Linked DNA regions of Saccharomyces cerevisiae S288C. Changing the gene in region 4 together with the main gene of any one other region gives a genetic interaction. Each region holds a gene or a part of one and is shown on either strand. Other genes may lie near its edges. The genes, in order: ATG42, SYH1, OPT2 and MRF1.

Region 1 (5,207 bases), on a different chromosome or scaffold from region 4:
GTGGTCTCCTGTTCATGGTAAATTGTTTGAAGCGACTGTACACGGTCCATCTTCAACTTGGATTCGATGGCAAATCGCTAGCCAAAAAATTAATGGAATCTAGAAATTTTGCTGCTACGCTTTTGGCTAAGTTAGAGTCATACAATGGATGCATATGGAACGAAGATAATTTTCCTCATATTATTTTAGGTTTCATTGCAAACGGTTTATCCATTCCTGTCGTAAAAGGAGCCGCATTAGATTGTCTACAGGCCCTTTTCAAGAATACATATTACGAAAGAAAGTCCAACCCAAAATCCTCCGATTATCTTTGTTACCTTTTCTTACTCCATTTGGTCTTAAGTCCTGAACAACTTTCTACCTTGTTACTTGAAGTCGGCTTCGAAGATGAACTGGTACCTTTAAATAATACACTAAAAGTGCCACTTACTTTGATCAACTGGCTAAGTTCAGACTCAGATAAATCTAATATAGTCTTATACCAAGGAGCACTTTTGTTTAGCTGTGTTATGTCAGACGAACCATGTAAATTCCGTTTTGCTCTATTGATGAGGTATTTGCTCAAAGTCAACCCTATTTGTGTATTCAGGTTCTATACGCTGACTAGAAAGGAATTCAGGAGGTTATCAACCCTAGAACAATCATCTGAAGCGGTTGCTGTCTCTTTTGAATTGATTGGGATGCTTGTTACACACAGTGAGTTTAATTACCTAGAGGAATTTAATGATGAAATGGTCGAACTTTTAAAAAAGAGAGGCTTGTCAGTTGTGAAGCCTCTGGATATTTTTGATCAGGAACATATAGAAAAGTTAAAAGGAGAGGGTGAACATCAAGTGGCAATTTATGAGAGAAAAAGATTAGCAACAATGATACTGGCAAGAATGTCGTGCTCCTAATTTTAAATTAGAGTATTGCAGTGATTATATACGTTTTTCCTTATAATTATATTTTGTTTTATATTTGTTGGATTGTAGATTTTAAATTAAATGAAACGTAGAGATTTGTGTAAAGTATAATGATTGCAAGGTTAAGAGTGAAACATTTTTAGAGCACTACTAACTAGCATTTTCCAAGGTGGAAAGATCCGAAAAAGCACGATTACCGGAAATCCAACTGTTGACCATTTCCAAACTTGCCTCCGGTTGATCATAGGGCACCATATGACCGGCATCGTATATTCTCAAAAAGGTGAAAGGGCCATAGTTCTTGACTTGTCCCAACTCTTCACCTGTTTCTTTACTGACCCATGGTCTTAACATCCTTCTCTGATACCTACGTTTATTGATCCATTCCAACTCATTGGACCAAGCATGGTTTCCCAGCCAATTACAAATATAATCCTTATCACCCGCATATATTAATACCGGAATGTTGTGATTTAATAATTCAGCAATATATTGTTGAAATGGTTTACTTCCATCGCCCGTAAACAAAAATCCGGTGAACACGTCATTATCACAGCCAGAATAATTATGCACGTCGGACCCTAGCGTTTCTTGAACTTCAGGAAAATTCATATACTGGTCGACATAGCGGAGACCTGTATAACACATACCATCAGTACTATTATCTTCACAGGGCCCTCTAATGTCATAGACGTTGAGTCCTGTGTTAATGTACGGTTCCAAAAGTGCAGAGTCACAGTAAGCAGTGGCGACTATGCATGGTAAACTTGATTTAGAAGCATAACATAACTTGTTCAACCTACGACAACGACCTGCAGCTTTACTCATTTTCTCACATTCTTCTGATGAGAGAACAGGGTGATAGCCCCCTTTCCCGCATGCCATTGGTTCATAATAATCTGCTTGAATCAAAGGGTCTGTGATACCATTACCAATCATAACTGAAGTTAAATTGAACGTTCTTTCAGGGTTCTTGACAACGATCTCATGTGCAATTTGAGGGATATAATGTCCTGCATAGGATTCGCCTGCAATGTGGAAATCGTTGGAGCGTAAATGAGGAAAAGCTTCAAAAAACAATTCCAGGAAAATGTACGCATCTTTGCCTGCTAATTTTGTAGAGGAGACTTTTTCATCACCATAGGAAAAGCCGACTCCGAGTGGCTGTTCTAAGAAGATCATTGAAGCGTTATTATTCCAAGAATAGGGATTGTGGATTGGTTTCATATCGGCGCCAATTGATGAGGGGCCTAGTTCAAATAGCAACCCAGTAAACGAGGAACAACCAGGTCCACCATTTAACCAAAGAATAATTGGGTCGTTAGCAGGATCGTTCCTACTTTCAAAAAACCAGTAAAAAAAGTGTTTGGAATCCTTATAGTCCATGTAACCCGACCATTGTTTTACGGTGTCAATTCCTAGTTTAGAAGGATCTACTGTTCTAAGTCTCAAACTGTAATCTGTGTCCACAGAAGAAATAAAAGTTGTAAACAGCGGATCATCGTGATTCAAACGGTCCAATTTAAGGGTTTGCTGTGTATTCTGTGGAAGCTTTAGCTGTTTATCCAAATTGGCAAAGGTGGTATCATCTTCAAAAAGAGAAAAGGCTCGGCCGAATGAGGCGTATTTGATGCTAATAAGAAGCTGAAGCACGAAAACTAAGTTTAGATACTTCATTGTATGTCGGTATCACTTTTTGTATAGCTGTTTTAAAGAAAAAATGCAGGATGACAATTTTCGTTCTTATATAACCCCTGTCCCCTGACATTTTTCGATAACGAAGCGTTATCTCACCTTTCGTAGAATGCTAGCGCCGCCTCGGCCATTTTTAGGAAATTTCCTAAATCGCTCACATTGTAAACAAGAACATCTTAGAGAACTCTAAGCACTTTTAGAAAAAAGGATTATACTAAACGAGTCAAAAACTATTTATCCAACAAGTCACAGATTGGAATAGTCTCGAAAACTTGATCCAACCACTAATTAAAAGGTTAAAATTAAAGGATGGAGAAAGATCAAATCCAGCCTAGGGTGTTGGAGTCAGTAGACACAAACTCATTATCCTTGCTTTCGTCCAATACCAGCTCAAATATGAATAGCAACACCAACAATAAACTCAGTATAATTGCCAGTGATATTTCTACAGGATCCGTACTTTCCAGGCCCTTGACTCCTCCAGTCGTCCAGGATATAGAGAATAACTCCATGTTACAATGGCAATTTGAAAAGAAGGAATTTATCTTCGATAGTAACAGCACTCCTTCGAAGCAGGCAAAACCATTGCAGAGAAATTCTCCATACCAAGGCAATAGTCAAAGTGAAAATCAGAACCAACAGTTATTGAATGTAAGAAAGCGTCGCTCACAATTGATAGGTGCCAAGCCTAAAATTCCATCCAAATTGTACCAATCTGTTTCCAAATTAGATCTAATTGATGACAAGAGCTTTACGTCTTTGCCAATTGCGCCTCCATGCAATATCGAAACTAATGAAGATGACAGTGGAAACAACGAATACAACAACAATAAAAAACGGCCCAGGTTGAATCCTGTAAATGAACTGCGAGTGCATAACAACAAACGTAATAGGTACGTCAGTTATGGGCCGAGTTTAGATACAAAAAACTACGAGCTAACAGAAAATACTTCTCAGGATATACCACCGCTAGTCCTGGTTGAAGACTACATACCGTATACCCAAAGTAAATCAACAAAAAAAATGGTATCTATTTCAGATTTGAAATCAAAACTAAGTAAAAGAAGAGATAATCATATCCCGCTGAGAGTAAAAAATTCATATTCTGAAATTAATAAGGAAACCAATAGAAATAGCTTTGAACCGAATTCACTAACACTGATACCCCATATATTAAGGAATACTGAAGAAAATAGGGACGAAAGTAACAACCCCTTAGATTTTATCAAAGAGGAAATTGAAATAAGTGATATTTCCATACCAAATTCCATTGAAAATATGGTGGTTAACTTGGTTAATATTCCATCTTCCAATAAAAGTTACGATGATCTTTATCTATCGGAATTAAATGTTCATTCCCAACTGAGGAAATGTGTCATCTGCGAAAAGGCCCTATATGAAATTAGCTCGAGACTTTTAAATTCAGGATACTATAAAGAAATTGTATGTGAGCAATGCACAGTTAGATATGAAGAAGCCGCTAAAATCTTTGAGAACTGCGAGTTCGAATCATCTATGGATGAATCAAATCTAAGCAGCGGTACTTTTAGTGATCTAGAGAATTCAGCAGAACCGTTTCATTTATCGACAGATGTTCCAAAAAAAATAAATAGGCACATAGAAGATAACAAGATCGACCTTAAAAAGGAAATATCAAAAAAAAAGGACAGCTTCTCTAAGGAACTAATAGAACGATTGCAGTTGCAATTGCTAGAAAATGATAAGTCAATCAAACATCATTTTAATAAAGATGCAATGGGCTCTAAATCAATGAATTGGTTTTTGGAAGCAAGAAGAAAATTGAAGTGGAAGTGGAGAATAAATGGTTTACTTCCGCATTTCTTACGCAATCAAAATAGTGATCGTTTAAATTTTCAACCTTGAAAATACATTGCTAAGAGATCACTAAAACAAACAGGACTGCATTGGTGCTGTGTATTTTTTCAAGGGCAAAACAATCAATATATATATGAAAAGCTTACGACTAAATAACAGTTATACTAGTAACGGGTAAAAAATATTCTATGGTGTTCAAGCCTCTATTTTACTTCTACCTACATTCTCAATCCAAATTCAAATCTTCTTCTAGACTTTCATTAGCAAATGCAATTAAAGAGCTGACTGCCATTAAATGGTCTTCTTCCTGCTTCAATCCACTTATAGTTAAGCAGGCATAGGGGTAGTCACTTCTCTCCGATTGTATTAGGACAGCACCTCCATGGAAAGCGTATTCTTTTGAGTCCACAAAAAACTTTTCCTCCGGTGTTTTGTCACCTTTCTTGCAGCCCATATAGAAACTTGAATGACCAAATCGAAGCGCTGTCTTCTTCTTTCTCTGGATCCAAAAATCATTGTCCAATGCACTGCCACCGTAGGTCACTGTGCGAAACAAGCAATGCCCATTTGGTAAGGAGATATCAATTGCAACTGGTTTTTCGGGGAAATTTTCTTTAACTGCATTTCTTATGTAAGTCCCCAAATCAAAGGCATCTTGATATGTAAAAGTAGACAAAAAGCATCGTTTTTCCATATCTTCGAGCTCTTCTAAGGGAACCTTACGAGAAGTCAATCTTTCCAATAACTTCTTGTCTAAAACCACCATAATAA
Region 2 (4,640 bases), on a different chromosome or scaffold from region 4:
AGATGTGGGTTTTCAAACGTGGCAATTGCATGAAAATTCTCAAACCAATTTGAATTAGCTTGTTCGTCATTTTCAATTGGTAGCACTATTGGAACTCTATAATTGTAATTACTGTTATTTGTCAGAAACGACCATCGTTCTTTGTACTCTTCCATATTTGAAAAGGCACTTCTTAGAATAATTACTTCAAAAACGGGAAATTTTTTGTTCAAATGACTAAAGGCATTGAACTCGCCTAAATTGATAATCTTCAAATCTGGCGCTCTCAAATCTGGCTTGTCAATACCATATGAGGTCATGGCTTGTTCGTAGGTCATACGAAAGATAGATACTGTGCCGTTTTCCTTTTTCGCAGGCACTAATGTACCCTTACTGTCTAAAGTCAATAATCCTCGTTTTTTGGAAAATTTACTCCATACCCCAGAAACTGTCTTTTCTATGATTTTCATGACATCTTCAGAATTAGCAAAGGCCATTTCCATATCAACCTGTGTAAACTCAGGCTGCCTGTCTGCTCTTAAATCTTCATCTCTAAAGCACCTTGCCATTTGATAATATTTGTTGACACCACTAGCCATTAAGAGTTGCTTGTATTGTTGAGGGCTCTGATCTAGAGCATAAAACGATGGTTTACCATCGGATCTCTTTGTCCTTGTTGGAACCAGAAACTCTCTTGCGCCTTCTGGGGTAGCTTTAAATAACATTGGGGTCTCGACCTCCGTAAAATCAAAATTGTTGAAGGAGTTTCTTATTTCCTTAGAGATAGATGACCTCTTCTTTAAAAAATCTTGATATTTGGGATTTCTCAATTGCAAATAGCGGAACTCAGGTGGGTATATGGCTGACAATTTAAAATCCTGCATTTGCGCTGGTTTTTTATTAGATGCATTTAACACAGTAATATCCTCCAATTGCACTTCGTACTCATCTGCGTCCTCATTTGATAGCTTCCTCTTCAAAGAGAGTATACCTACGGCTTGAACCACATCCTCTAAAGTAAAGCCTTTCAACAACGATTTGTTATCAACCAACTGGATAATGTCACCGTTAGAGTCCCTTAAAAGTCCGAAGATCAAATTTTTCCCAACTCTTTTTGGCTTCTGCTCTATCCATCCATTGAGTACTATTTTCTGGCCGCTAGACAGTCCTTTTAACTGTTTGATGGTCGAGGTGTCCTTCCTAAAGAGAAATTTTTTCTTAATAGCATTGGCTTCTGGAAAGTCTGCCAACCGTCTAGTGATTGTCTGCAAGCACACCCTGGAACGGGCCAACATGATTAAAACTTGTAATGTTTAGTCTTTTCAAAAAAGCATGCACTCAACTGAATCAAAATGTTAAGAAAACATGAATAATGAATAAATGAGGCATTCAATGCCATCTATTACTTCCTACTCCCATTTTCACCTTATTATTGTACTTTGGTACGGCAGTAGCTTTCTGAAATTTCATCTACCAAACTTTGCAAGCACGAAAAAGAAAGCAAAACATTTCATTTACCATGGACGCATGGAGAAGGTCGATTTTGCCACAGCTTGCACAAGATTGGCAGTGGCAGTAAGTGATGAATCCTATCAACTCTCTAGCGTTTGACCTTCACAGTGTTAAACTTGCAGACGCGAACTCAGACACTGCTGCATTATCAAATAGCAATACTCCAACCATGAACAATGCGGCTCTTTTGCAAAGGCCCTCCTCCATTATGGATTCTATTGGCGTCCAAAGAGTTCCATCTCCTTTTGTGCCAGGGAGTAATGCGATTAGTGGAGCCAGTACTGTTCCCTTCAATGCATATGACGCTGAAATTACTGGATCTCCGCTACAAATATCTGCTAATCAGGAAAACAATAGTGCATTTAGTGCAGCATCATCCAACCTGCATATGAACGCCAGCAGCCCTTCCGTTCTCAATAAACCCTCGAGCACATTTCCAAATGTAGCTCCTTATCTCTACAACGCAACAGGGCCTGCCCCCAACGTTGGTAATCAACCCCCACCACCGGGGATAGAATCTCAGTGGAAATACATTGACTCTAATGGTAACATTCAGGGGCCTTTTGGTACCAATAATATGTCACAGTGGTATCAAGGAGGTTATTTTACTCCAACTTTGCAAATCTGTAGATTAGCAACATCTCCTGAGCCATTTGGTGTAAATGATCGGTTTATTAGACTAGGTGAATTGACTACTCTGGTGAATAATTATCAAGACCCTTTTGTCGCCTTTGATTTCATTGTTATTAGAGCTTTGAATGCTGTTCCACTTGTTGCACCAACTTCATCAGAAAAGCAAAAAGTTGAGTCAAGAGATTTGATACCTGTTGCTGATGTGCATAGTGATGATTTTACGTATGAAGAAATCCTTGGCCTTAAATTTGAAGATGGAAGTTACTATCATGAAACTCAGGTTTGGGTTCCGGTTGACGGCCGTCATATCACAAAGGTAGATCGCATACCAAAGATATCTGCATATACCGCTCCTCTATCCACGACTTCTAGTAGATCTAATAAAACCACTTCTTCCCATGAAGAGAAGGTTCCTTCCCACGAGGAAGCTTCTCCAGAGGAGCAAGAGGTTTTTTCAGAAGAGGGCAGAACTGTTTCTAACATAACAAATGAAGAGGAATCTATTGTCAAAAATCCTACTAAGCAGGAGGAAGAATCTCGAGGAAGCGAGAAAGAGCAAAATATATTGGATCAAGTTCAACCAGAGATTGAAGAGGTAGACCGTAAGGATGTAATATCCACTGCTGATGAGCCGAAAAGCAAAGATACGCCGCAAATGACTTCTGAAGAGCAGAAAAGGTTTGCAAAGGCAGAACTGATGGCACAAAAATTATTGGAAGAACAACAAAGACAAGAAGAAGAAAAAAAGAGAAGAGAAGAACAGCGCAAATTAAAGAAGGAGAAAAAATTGAAGCAAAAGCAGAAAAAGGAAGAAGAGAAGTTAAAAAAGAAGAAGAAGGAAGAAGGAAAATTAGAGAAAGAAAAGCAAAAAGAATTGCTAAATAACATTTTAACTGGAGATACAGAAACTCCATCTTCCGAAAACACCGCAACTTCCATAACCACTAATTTGGCGCCTTGGGCTAACAAGAAACCCGAGGGTGCTGTTTATAATCAGATTTCATCTGCTCTTGAAGATTTGAAGAAGGAGAACTCGTCCAAGAAAGAAAAAAAACCTAATCGTACTCAGTTAGATCGTGAGCAGGCATTAAAACTACAGAAAGAAATATTAAGCTCGGCGCAAATTCCGAAAACTCAAACTGGTTCTGCCTGGGGTATAAAGCCACAGCAACCGATCAAAGTTGATATTAAAGGAGAATTGATGAAAGACAGTACCAAAATTAACAGTCAGTCTAAAATTAACAAGGCCAACAATGGTGATATTAAACCAGATTCCACTTTTATTGAAGAGCAGAAAAAGCTGTGGGAACAAGTTCAAAAGAAAACAAAGAAATTCAACCGCGCTTCTTCACTCGATGATTTCATTTCAAGAACGCCTTCCCCATCTTCTTCGGCATTGAACTCTTCGAATACTAGCAATGCGTGGACCACGGTTTCTTCTAAGAGCACAACCCACATCGCTTCCACCATGCCTGTCGCTGGTAACCAGTCAAAGTCATATATCAGTTTGGACACACTGCGTTCTTCTGGGGGGTTATCTACCGCAACAAAAACTAAAATGAGCGATAAGAGTAAACAAATTGGCTCATCCACTAGTATCCCGACTTTAAAGGCCCGTCAAGTTAAACCGTCTCGCATCCCTGCCTATCCCGGTAACGCTTCTGTCTCTAAGCGTCAAGAATTTTTGAGATGGTGCCGATCCCAATTAAAACTAAATACGGGTGTTCAGCCCGATAATGTTTTAGAAATGCTACTTAGCTTGCCCCCAGGTTCAGAATCCAAGGAAATTATCGCAGATACCATATATTCCTACAGTTCAACAATGGACGGTAGGAGATTTGCCACTGATTTCATCAAAAAACGTCTAGAATGCGAAGAAGAAATTAATGACCCCTTGAGCTGGAGTGAAGTATTAGCTATGCCTGAAGGCAGTTCCGAAGACTGGGAATTTCAAGTTGTTGGTAAAAAGAAAGGAAAAAGATTTTGAAGCCTTTTTGTTCCATAGTAGTTGTTTACTACGCGTGTATATCTTCTATTCAATGTATTAACTAGTATAACTCCCATCTATTTGTATAATTAATTGAAATTAAATATCTTGATAACTAATAACAGTACTAAGAACGCTACAATAATATGTTAGCGTGTGCAAACTACCTATAGCTAGTATATCGATTAAATGTTTGAAGCCACATGAATTGAGAAAGGTAAGCACATTTTTCAAATTGCAGAACGTATCATTTAGCGAATCTATCGTCTGTTTGAAGGTTCTTAATGGAGATGAGAAGTGTTTAAGTTGGTTGAGCGCATAATCATTTGTTACGTGTATTTCTTTTCTTTTTTTCTTTTTTTTTTTCGAAGGCAATGAAAAAAGAAATTTAACGAAGATGATTCTAGAAGATTCCTTTTCCAAAGAGCACTACTTGTCAATATAACCTTAGTGATAAAAGTTACTGTCCATTTTAAACTCCCTCTGTCTTGATTTTTCTTCTTATAACTCAGTTAGTTCTGATTCTTAT
Region 3 (6,504 bases), on a different chromosome or scaffold from region 4:
TGTATAATATTTTTGGGGCTTTATAGCCGACCTTGACGTATAGCAGCTGAGCTCTATGGTTTGACTCATCCGTACACCAATACACGCTTGGTGTGCCCAGTTTATCAGCTTCGTCGTAGACAAATTGGATTAGTTTGCCGCCCGCGCCTTTGACCCTAGAATTCTCATCAACATAGAGATCGTTGATGTATATCTTGTCCTTGAAATCCCAAGTAGTCATATGGTTGAAAAAGTTTATCATTCCAATAATTTTTTCGCTCGAACTTTCCACAGCTACGGCTGCCCACATTTTAATGTTAGGATCTAGGAATCTGCCGAAATTGAAATCGTCCAAGTCATCGGGAAAAGAGACTTCATAAAAATCTTGATAGGATTTCCAAAGCCTTTGCCAACCCTCCTTATCGTTTTCGGTTACAAACCTTACGGTAATGTTATCTTCGCTAGTGTTGGACATGCTACACAGAAAGGGCTGTTTGCTTTCTTGGCATATAAAATACTAAGAGCAATACTTAGCCCTTTTTGCTCTATTTATAGCGTTCCCTCTCTTAATGATTGCCGCTCCCCTAATATAATTGGTAGTTCTTGCCACCCGTTAGTTCCGTCCATAAAAATGTTCAACCAATAAAAGCAAATCAAGAAGTGACTGAGAAGTACAATGAACTATGACGTTAAAAGGCTAACCCAATGCAGAAATTAAATAGAAATAAATACATTGTGTAGTCGGCCTGTAACTTGTATTTCGCAAACGTCTTATAAAGGCAAGAAAATTTCAAATGTTCGAAATCTGACATCAGCCGCATGCTATGTTGTCAATCTCTCTCAATACTCGGCTGGCTTAACCCTGAATCATCCCAAAAAACGGTGATACTGTATTTGAATATGCTTCAACCGGAGTAATTATCCAGTAGTGCAACGCATCTCATTCCAACTTGAAATATACGTTTACAAAACTATTTACCACTTGTATTTCTGCAATAATACCAAAATTCATGCAAAATAAACACCATCATTACTTGTAGTTGGAAGCAAAAAATATTCTTGATTGATTTTCAATTGCCAGGCTCCTTATCACTTCGTCGATGAGCCAAAAAAAAATGTAGTTCCTATTCTGGTATCAAAGCATTTTTCTTTATTGATAACATCCGCATACACAGAGAAAAGGCGAGAAGCATGAAAAGTGTCAAAAATATTGAACTAGAGTGTACTGTTATAGTTTTGGCAGGTATGAAGACAAAATGATGGCTTTTTACATATCAAAGTAACTCTGTACTATAGATAGAAGAATAAAAACTAAATACATGCAGGTGACTGATAGAAAAGACAAGTGCAGGGGAGAAAAAAAAATAAAGAAATGATAGCGTTCTAAGAAAAGTTCTAGTCATGGATAGTGTCCTGGAGCATAGCCGAAATAGCCATTTGCTGTATCAGTTATGTTCTTTAGAGGATAGCCAACGCCATCGGCACCAGCATACGGAACTGTATTGCCCCACCAATTAAAAGCTGTGTCTTTATATTGGACAGCAAAGAAAATGATAATAGCTGATAAAACCAAGCCCGTTGAAAAGCCTGCCGATAAAACATAATTATATTTCTCCCACAGATTTAAATGGTGTCTTTTCATGTAGTACTGGGAAATGTAACTAACAATCATACCAGAAGTGTAATACATCAGGTTATATGGAGGGCTCATATTAAGCATTCCACCTACAAATAACATTGGGTCAAAATATCTGGGATAAAACTTACCCCAGCGCTTCCAAACACCAAAAAATATGCCAATGCATGCGCCTATCAACCAACACCATTTAAATATTGGATAAATGTAATTGAAAATTCTTTTTGGCCCAATTGCACCCCAGACAACGGAAGCATTATAGTAGGTCACAGCATCAGGACAGGTGAATTTTGCGTTTTGATGAGGTGTGCAAAAGTCTTTGATATTGGAGATTTGCCAATTCAGAACACCTAGATTGACAAATATCTGAATGAAAACTATAACACATTGTCCCCTGAATAGCGCCATTGGCGGAATCTTACAATAATGCGCTATTTTTAAGTTAGAAACGTAATTATCTGCTTGGCCGTCGATGTTATAACCAAAAGCCTTCAAAATCATTATGGCGATTGGATTACCTGGTAAAGCGTACCCCATCACCATTTCAATTAGTAGATTCAAACCAAACGAATAACCAGTGGTTGCTTGAAGGATAGTAGTTGGAATCAAGAAAACAAAATTAAATCCTAAACAAACAAAAAGACCCCAAACTGGTGTATTTGTTGGGTAGTGCTCTACAACAGCTATTCCAACAACAAGTGAACCTATCAATATGGCAAAATACCACCAATCTGGAACTTCTTTATAGTTTTTCATGGCATTAGAATGTGGGTCATCATAATCGTCGAGCGCCCTGTAATCGCTTTTGAACATTGTGACCCAAGATTTAAGTTTTCTCATGGCCCACAAATTCAAAGCCCAATCTTTGAAAGCATTGAACAATAACTTTGAGTGTACAATAAACGACCATGTAATCATCAGAGGATATGCGCAAATGAAAGCACCATATGATACCAAATTTCCAGCACTATAGTATGGTGGCGAGTAGCTTTGATATTTTTTCACATCTAGCTTATTGTCACTGTCTAATACCTCAGTAACTTTAAAGGAATGGCCAGTATTAGTATACAAAGAATTTGTGAATATTGGCAGGTATTGGCAACTCATATAATTACTATAGTATACTGCAATAACAATTAAAGCTGCTAATATGCAACCAAGATATTGTGTTAAGTATGACCAAAATGGGTAAACTAAAGGAGAATTAAACGAAATAACATTCCAGTCAAAAGATGAGATAGGATTAATCCCAAGACCAGTGACTCCTCCCGTGATGTTTGCGAGATTAATGTTACTTGGCTTGATCCAGGTCATCCAATTGAAAGTGTTTAGAATATTAATAATGTAAGTGGGAAACCAGTTATAGATGAACATGATAAAAAAAGTCAAGAAAAAGAATTTATACCTGCTCATTCCAGATTCATGCTTTTCTTTACCCAATAGTGCCTTGTTGATAGCAATAGTTGGCATGACTGTTGGCCATAGTGCACGGGCTGGATAAACAACGAATTTTCTAAGGATGCCAGCAAATCCAAATCCAATAAATTGTACGGATAACGAAAGTAAAAATTGGTAGCCAAACGAGAAAGCAGAATGGTAAAAGAGTTTTTGCGTTAGAATATTGTAATGAGTATAGAACGCGCCTTGACAAATTGCATATAACAAGGTTGAAAACATTTGCTCTTTTTGGGTCCATGGTTTATCGATATTGATACCATACTTTCTGCCCCTGATGGTTATAGTCCAACAGGGGATAGTTTTAGCCCAAGCCTTACCACAGATATATAAAAACATTTGGATAATTGGAGTATTCAGTGAAATTGAAACCACCCTGTGTGAAAAAAACTCATTAAATCCTGAACCGATGACAGACCAAATTATTGCCAGAAAATATGCTCGGAATGTCTCCACTGGAATGGTGGGATCATCTTCTGGATCAACAACAGCTCTAACCTCTTGGTAAGGCGAATGAAATTTAATAGCAGAAGCAAATGCTCTAATGTCAAAGCTATCATATTCATCTATCCCCTCTTTTGAATCCAAGTCCTCCAAGTCAACCAATCTCTTCCACTCCTCATATTGATCGTGTGGAATGTTCTCATCATCCTTGAAATAGATGATAGAGTCTTTTAGTATTTTGAAGGAATCCTCAAGTGTCAATTCAGGCATTTTTTTGAGGATATACGCAACGTCTTCCGGAATATCATAAAGAGTGCGATTTTCATAACCCAGCTTCTTCATAAAGTGCAGTATCTGTTCATCCGTATACCACTGAGAAAAGTCTGATGAATGATTTGAAAGCCTCTCAGAATACTCAGCACCCTCGGCGTAATCAACAGTACCTTTTGTGGATACCTTCTCATCAATTATAACTTTATCTTTGACTGTTTCACTCATAATTTCTAATAATTCAACAGCAATATTGCGTATAACAAACCCTACTAGTTGTAGAATAAGCTAATATGTTCGTTTCTGCTATTAAAAAAATGCCGCCGTTGTTTAGACGTTCAATGTATGATTGTAAGTGTTTCAAATATTATTTTTTGGGATGTTTCGATAGGAATGAATATAAGTAACAACTGACTTGAGACATGACTTAAGTTTACACAGGATAGTGTTCCATTCCCATTTATAAATTTTTTTGAAGCGAGAAGAAACCTAGCAAGTTGATATCAATATTTTTTTTAATGTTACTTATCTTCATTGCTAATAATTCGTGAAATGATTGAAAATTTCCAATCCATGAACATTCAGAAGTAAGATAACAGCGTCCAATTGTAAAAGAACGCTATTATTATTGTAGATAAGAGAATAAACTTAAATAATCGAAGGTGTTACGAATCTTCATAAAACCCAATGGGCTGATATTGACAACCGCAATGGCGATTCACGTGTTCGGTAACCACAACAGGGGCCAAGAGGAAAACAAACTACATCAATTTTTGCAAAAGGTTAACAACGAAATGTGGGATTATTGAAAATTATAACGAAGAAACTACGTCGGACAGCAACCCCCCGATTTTTGTCGGTTGCTTTTACTGACACCATGATGTGAACCAAATTTTCTTTTGGTATTCCTCGCATAGTGTTGACTTCTTTTACCATGATAAAAATAATGAGATAAGAAGTGTTGCAGTAATATTATGTGTCACACCAGCGTGGCTGCCATATTTGAGACGGATTCGTCCGGTGGATGTGATGGATCCGTTTAATGCTGATCTCTCCTGCATTTTTTGTGAAAAATCAGATATCAATTATTGGTCTATCTGCTTTTGCCTGTTTGTTTTTTTTTCATTATAGAGTTCCTCAGTGAGTGGGATTGATGATGCGCACGGCACAATTGAAGCATTTGCTTATCAAAACATAAATATCTCCGTACCCAAATAGGAAAAACGCGTTAATGCAAAGTTGACACGTTCAGTTACTATTTCCTGAAATAATAATACAGCCCACAAAAACCCACCAATGACGCTTTTGTTGCTGAATCAGACGTTAAGTGCTGCTGCCTCCTCTGTTCTGCGCCGCCGGTTGTCTCATTACCTTTTCTGCCTATGATGATTGTATTGCAAGGCCCGAGTGGTTGCGTATGCCACGTACGAAAAGTTGTTACCGTGCCGTCACATCCCCTGCAAAGAATGTGGTACGGCACACTCCTGCTAGCTTGAGGCCCTATTCCAATGGCAATTGAGATGCTGCTTTCTCCTCTTACAATGTATGTTGATGCTTCCACTAAAAGAGGGATGAGAGAATTCATTTGACTGTGCAGTCAAATCTGTGATCTTTCTATTCTTGCTTATCTATATTCTGCCCTATTTATTTTTAGTAAAGTTTCGTATTTACATTTTTCATCATAGATCGCACCAGCGCGTGGGGCTCTTTCATTATCATCTCAACTAAATGACATACATTGCAAATACGTGAAATGAGCTGACTCAAAAAGAAATATTCTGAACTGTGAATACCAAACAAACTTAAAATAGCTGAAATTCACGTGTTGAATTACCGCATCGGTTAAGGAAAGGGAAAGTTTCTTCTCTAAATAAGGAGGAGCCTTTGCACATATGTAGATTATGTAAATACTATACTCTTTTTTTGCTTTTAGTACTTGGTATCCTACTAAATCTTTATTTTCTTTCGTTAGTGAAAAATATGAATTGAAGGATCAGTTCCTTCAAAAAGGTAAGAAAAGAAATGGACCATTCGATTAATGCTGGCACCAACATTCCACAGCACGGAATACAATTTTTGGTGTCCTTTACTTCAAGATTTGTTACTACGTGCGGCTTAGAATAACTTCATTATTTATCTAAACGACCCATAATTTTCGATGCTAAAGTCTAAAGTTGAGCAGGTAAGTTTATTAAAAACGTCTTTTTCATTACTGCTCTAGCGGGTAAAAGTCAATGACAGCAGACGCGGCAAGTTGTGACGCCTCATCGGATCCAAGAAACATTTATTTTTGCGTGCACGAGTAATCTAGCGAAACAATTTCCAAAAAATAAGTGAAAGAATATCTACTAATGCTTAGGATTACCAAATTCAAAAATAACCCTTTTAAAGTATAAACTTTGCATTTCAGAGATTCTCTGGCATGGCAAATATTACGAATAAGGAAAGCAAGGTAAGATATATTAGAAGGACCAAATTGTTAAAGAGACATCTAACAGGTGAGTTTGAAAAGTAATATATGGAAAGGATGGTAATACAGATTTAGCGCAAATAATAGTTGTATTATCAAATGAAATGTGAACTTTTTTATATGAAAGTCCATAGGGTAGACTACTGTCGCCATAATTTCGTAGAAGAAGAGAAATTCATGATAGGCGTCAGCATTATTACAGGCGCGGGTCTTAAATTTATGGAACTATAATTGTTGTAATTAAGATGAG
Region 4 (4,841 bases):
AACCGTATGCGTTGGCAAACTTTCTTCGGACTATAATGTTGTTGTGAGCGTCAGGTTTTAAAGCAACGACAACCTTTCTCCATGCCATTCCTTCATGCCACCTTCGAGCAATCGTTTCTTCCAAATTTCGATACTTCGCACGTTCTTTCTTTCCTGCAAAAAAAGCCTGAAGGAGTATATTCTTTTTACCAAAAAAACCGTCTTCGATATCAAATTCGGATTGTGGAATGTCATCCTCATTGTATATCTTATCATGAATAATTACAGGATCTCTTGAATCTGGATCCATTATGTACGCTCTTTCAGGTAAAGGAGGAAGGAGAATTGAGCTTGCTGACTCGAAAAATGATACTTTAGGAATTTCGGAACCATTCTCCGTAGGAAACTTTTGTGGCGCCAGTATACTCAACATTTTAGTCAGAGGCGAAATGAAAGTTTTATTGAAGAAATCTTGATTCACAGGTGTTGAAGCATCATTTATTAGCGGTGATTTTTTGCTGTTCTCCTTTAGTTTCTGTAATTGCTCCAAGATATCATTATAGTCTAGGAACAATAGCGATGCGGTATACAATGGGACAATTCCGTCATTAATAGCGTTCGCATATACTGTCCTCCTTTTGAACCTACGCAAAATCTCTATCAAGGGCAGACCAGATAGCAAGTAGAGAAGCGGTTTGCCTACTTCAACATCATTTTCCAAACCCAAGTCTTGACCTGTTTTTCCAATAACCCCGAATGAAAGTAGTACTTTAATATAGGCGGGATTATCTGTGACTATACCTAAAAGCGGTGAAGCTAAAGTAATAAAATTTATTGGATTCACCTTTTTAAAAAACCAAGGGTAGACTTCATAAATGTACGCTATTGCGAAAGCCTGGATTAGGCCACCCAATGAATGACCTACAAAAGAAATCTTGCGGATGGATTCATCGTACAAATCCTGGATAATATATTCGGCCAAACGAGTACCTAAATACTTAACTCCCTTCTCAGTTTGACAGACATTTCCCCTATAACCTTTCACAACAATTTGTTCGTGGGGATAATTCTTTTGTGCTTTGTATATCTGTTCCATAATATACACTAGATCGGTCGACACATTAGAATGTAAACCATGTGTCAAAACTACAAGATGTTTCTTTTTCTGTGGTGTGGTAATCTGAACGGGAAGATTCCACAAATCCAAGGTAGTTAACCTGTTCACTGTAAGTTTAGGGCTATAAGAACCTAGATGAGATGGCAGATCATGCGGATTTTCTACTGACTCTTTACTAGTTCCAATAGTGACTTCGTAAGTGACGTTCGTATTTGTAGTGAACAATATTTGACTCATCACATCAGCAATCCATACGTATTTCTGTCGTATGTTATGTACTGAAAGTTCAGCCACGAAATCTTGTTGAGTTTGCACATTCGGTTCAAATTTGGGGTAATCAACTGAAGCAACTATTTTTTGGGAATGATGATATTGGGCAGTTTTTACATCGCAATAAAGCATGAATGGACCCATTAGGTACGCAGCTCTATACGATAACGGATTCATATTTCTCACCTTTAACCACAAGGAATTTAAATTCAAATCTGGTGGAATTTCCTCACCGTCATAAAGATGATAAGTAATTACATATCTCTCAAGTTCACCAACCTTCACTGAAGACTTGTAATGAAACAATATTTCATTAGTTGGTGTCAGAGACATCTTGAGCAAAACACGGTTCGTACTTCACTCTCTTTGTGTACTATTCTTACTGAACTGTTGAGGCGGTACAATTTATTTCACAGAGTTTTGCATATTTCGGGCATCTACTATGTGCGTCAGTTCTTACGTGGCGCAGAACAATAGAAAAGAAGATTTACAGAAGTGATAGATACGATATGATATTTACAAGAAACGAAAAGTTACGTTCGTCAGTTACTCTCCAATAATTCTTTTGCCCGTTCGGTGCTATCATATTTAGACATTGCCTCAATAACTTCGTCCAATCGTTCTCCAGATAACACACCTGGCAGGTCCAACAATGTGAACCCGCACCTATGATCAGTGATTCTGTTCTGTGGAAAATTGTATGTTCTAATTTTATCAGACCTATTGGTGCTAGAAACCTGACTCTTTCTTGCTTTTCTTTCTTTTTCCTCCTTTTCCAGCCTTTCCTTCTCTGCAAGTCTCGCTCTTAAGATCGTAAATGCTTTAGCCTTATTCTTGTGTTGAGATCTTTCATCTTGCATGGAAACAACAATTCCAGAGGGGATATGGGTTAATCTGACAGCAGAGTCTGTCGTATTCACATGTTGACCACCTTTCCCGCTTGCACGCATGATGTCAACTCTGATTTCACCAGGTTTAAATGTTCTTTCATAAGCGTCAATAGATTTAGCAGATTCGTCACCAATTTGAGGTAACACAACCACGGCAGCAGTGGATGTGTGCGTCCTTCCTTTAGTCTCCGTACTAGGAATTCTCTGCACCCTGTGAACGCCTGCTTCAAACCTCAAACGATCGTAAGATCCGGCTTCTTCAATGCTCAGAATGGCATCGATAATGCCTGACCCACTTTCGTTTTCATTTTTCGATATAATTCGATACTTCCATTTTCTATAGTTGGCATAGCCAATATACATATCCAATAGATTCTGGGTAAAAATCATGGCTTCAATGCCACCTACACCCGGTCGAAGCTCTAGTAAGCTAGGTTTATCTGCGAACGGATGCGGTGGAAGAAGTTTATTTACCAATCTTGAGGAGGTCGTTTCATATTGGGGGACCAGTTCTGCATATTCTTGTTCAGCCTCCGCCCTTAATGATGGATCAGATACAATCATTTCTTGTAAACTTTTCAATTCATTTAGTTTTTCCTTATACTCAATAAATGTATCAGTGAGCGCTGATAATTTAGCATAATGTTTCTGCTTATTCACGTCAAAATGAATGCCGCAAGAAAGGTCTTTGTCAAGATCTTTTAGTTCAGCTTCATACTTTTCCGCTTGCTTAACAAGTAACGGAGAGAGTTCTGTGTATTGTGTTGGGATGCTGCCGTTGCTCTTAGAGTTAGTCGTTGTTGATGTCAGTCGCACTAGTAACGGCAACTTGTGACCCAAAAAAACACCCTTAAAGATGGACCTCGAGGGGAACTGGAACTTTGAAAGCCACATGCTTGCACCAATGAAATATATTGTTCTGCTCTACGAACTTTTCATTCCTGAGATATTATAAAACATATGATACGCACTATTAACGCTCTGTATTTATCCTCCGAGCGAGCAAATCCTCCTAACAAGTATATGAAATACACAATTACTCAGCCTAGTACAGATGGCACAACGAGAAGTAACACATATATTTTCTGAGAGGCCTTATTGCATAATTATACACATATATTAATATCATGTAGTAAATAAATCACTAATAATTAAAGGCTTTTTCGCGAAATGAAGTAAACTGATAAGTGAAGAATACACAAATTTAAATATCTGCCGCTGGAATATCGCTATAATCGAATGGTAATTTATAATAAATTATTATGTCTCCTGATCTTCTTGAATCCCAGTGCGCAAGAGAGTTGAAGAATCTATTGTATTCAATGTATGATGAATCTTTCAGGAAATCCTTTAGAAATGCGTTTTCCATGTGCTCGAAAACAACCAAATATGTTGGCCATTCGTGGCTGTATGTTTTACCTGGACTCCTTAGATCCTTACGAAAAGGCGGTGGGAAATTTTTGTAAATGAATGCCGATATATCGTCATACAAATGGTCACTTTCATCCATGTAGGTCTCTAGTTTGGAGTAAGCCTCTGGGTCTCCAAGTAAATGCAATGGAGGGTTACAAGTAATCGACCACAGATCTTGAATGTCACTGCGGTGTAAATAGCTTTGACCAGGTGTCGAATGACAGGGCATTATGAATCCCAAACTATCTATTTCTGGCTCTTCATGTAAAAATTTCATAACTTCGATAGATCCAGATTCGTGGAATGTGTCCAAAAGTAATGCGATGAACACCGACACGAATGGAACAAGCCAGAGTAAAGATTTTAGGCCAGATAGTCTTTTCCAATAATCTCTATCAAGTCTCAAAAGGCCAAATGATGATATTAATATGAAAAGTGGCTGTAATGGGAAGATGAACCTAAATTCCTTATGAGGTAACGTAGAGTACACCAACAGATTCAACAAGATAGTGAGTTTCACTTGGAAAAACGGGTTTAAATACTTCTTTGGGAAACTCCTTTTGCTTAGTGGAAAAAATAATCCAAATGCAAAAGCGGGAATACTTGCACCTAATACGATAGGTAAGCTTTGAAAGAAATGAAAATGCCAAGGAGCTACCCCATAAAACTTTGATAATGGTGTTGTGAAATTGAATTTTAGAAATCGGAAAAAGGGAAACGTTACTTTTTCATAAAAATACATGTCGATAATTGCATTTGCAGTAAATACCAGAAAAAAAGACCGTAAAACTTTGGAAAATGTGATGAAAAGTAAATGATACTGCTTTTTGCCTACCAAGTTTAATATTAGGGAAATGCTGGGAATTACCCAAATAAGTCCACTGCTGGGTCTTTGCAAACATGCCAGAAATGCAAAAATAAGCGACTTAGTAAAAGATGACTCTTTTATCATTTGTCCGCCTGTCCAGTCCCAGTAGTAGAGGGCAATAGAAGTTAAAATCATTTCAAAAGAGTTGATGAACGTTCTTGTAATAAAAAAGCAATTAAAAAAATTAGTTAAACTTAAAAGCAGTGCAAACTTCGTAATCTCGGATAAACCGCTGCGTCTCTCCTCTTCCTCCTTCTCGTTTCTCTTATCAAGTGTAAGTAAATAGAGCTTTTGAACAAATCTT

What was found.
Region 1: mutations in MRF1 (region 4) and ATG42 together harm fitness more than expected from each alone (negative genetic interaction), as found in Saccharomyces cerevisiae (one large-scale study listed by BioGRID).
Region 2: mutations in MRF1 (region 4) and SYH1 together harm fitness less than expected from each alone (positive genetic interaction), as found in Saccharomyces cerevisiae (one large-scale study listed by BioGRID).
Region 3: mutations in MRF1 (region 4) and OPT2 are lethal when combined (synthetic lethality), as found in Saccharomyces cerevisiae (one large-scale study listed by BioGRID).

The regions. Positions count from the first base shown.
Region 1 is NC_001134.8:513,039-518,245, reverse strand, and holds ATG42 (carboxypeptidase C), read right to left. Parts: upstream 2,583-5,207; coding exon 1,056-2,582; downstream 1-1,055. Other genes in the region: GTPase-activating protein IRA1, read left to right, coding at 1-896; YBR138C (uncharacterized protein), read left to right, coding at 2,910-4,484; YBR137W (uncharacterized protein), read right to left, coding at 4,663-5,202. UniProt on the Saccharomyces cerevisiae protein: Vacuolar serine-type carboxypeptidase involved in vacuolar zymogen activation, breakdown of the autophagic body, and autophagosome-dependent protein synthesis.
Region 2 is NC_001148.4:352,334-356,973, reverse strand, and holds SYH1 (Syh1p), read left to right. Parts: upstream 1-1,561; coding exon 1,562-4,111; downstream 4,112-4,640. Other genes in the region: aspartate--tRNA ligase MSD1, read right to left, coding at 1-1,274.
Region 3 is NC_001148.4:922,926-929,429, forward strand, and holds OPT2 (Opt2p), read right to left. Parts: upstream 4,013-6,504; coding exon 1,379-4,012; downstream 1-1,378. Other genes in the region: HPA2 (histone acetyltransferase), read right to left, coding at 1-454; YPR195C (uncharacterized protein), read right to left, coding at 5,040-5,369. UniProt on the Saccharomyces cerevisiae protein: Transports tetra- and pentapeptides. Does not transport glutathione.
Region 4 is NC_001139.9:232,809-237,649, forward strand, and holds MRF1 (Mrf1p), read right to left. Parts: upstream 3,151-4,841; coding exon 1,909-3,150; downstream 1-1,908. Other genes in the region: putative lipase ROG1, read right to left, coding at 1-1,699; GPI10 (putative glycosylphosphatidylinositol-alpha 1,2 mannosyltransferase), read right to left, coding at 3,461-4,841. UniProt on the Saccharomyces cerevisiae protein: Mitochondrial peptide chain release factor that directs the termination of translation in response to the peptide chain termination codons UAA and UAG.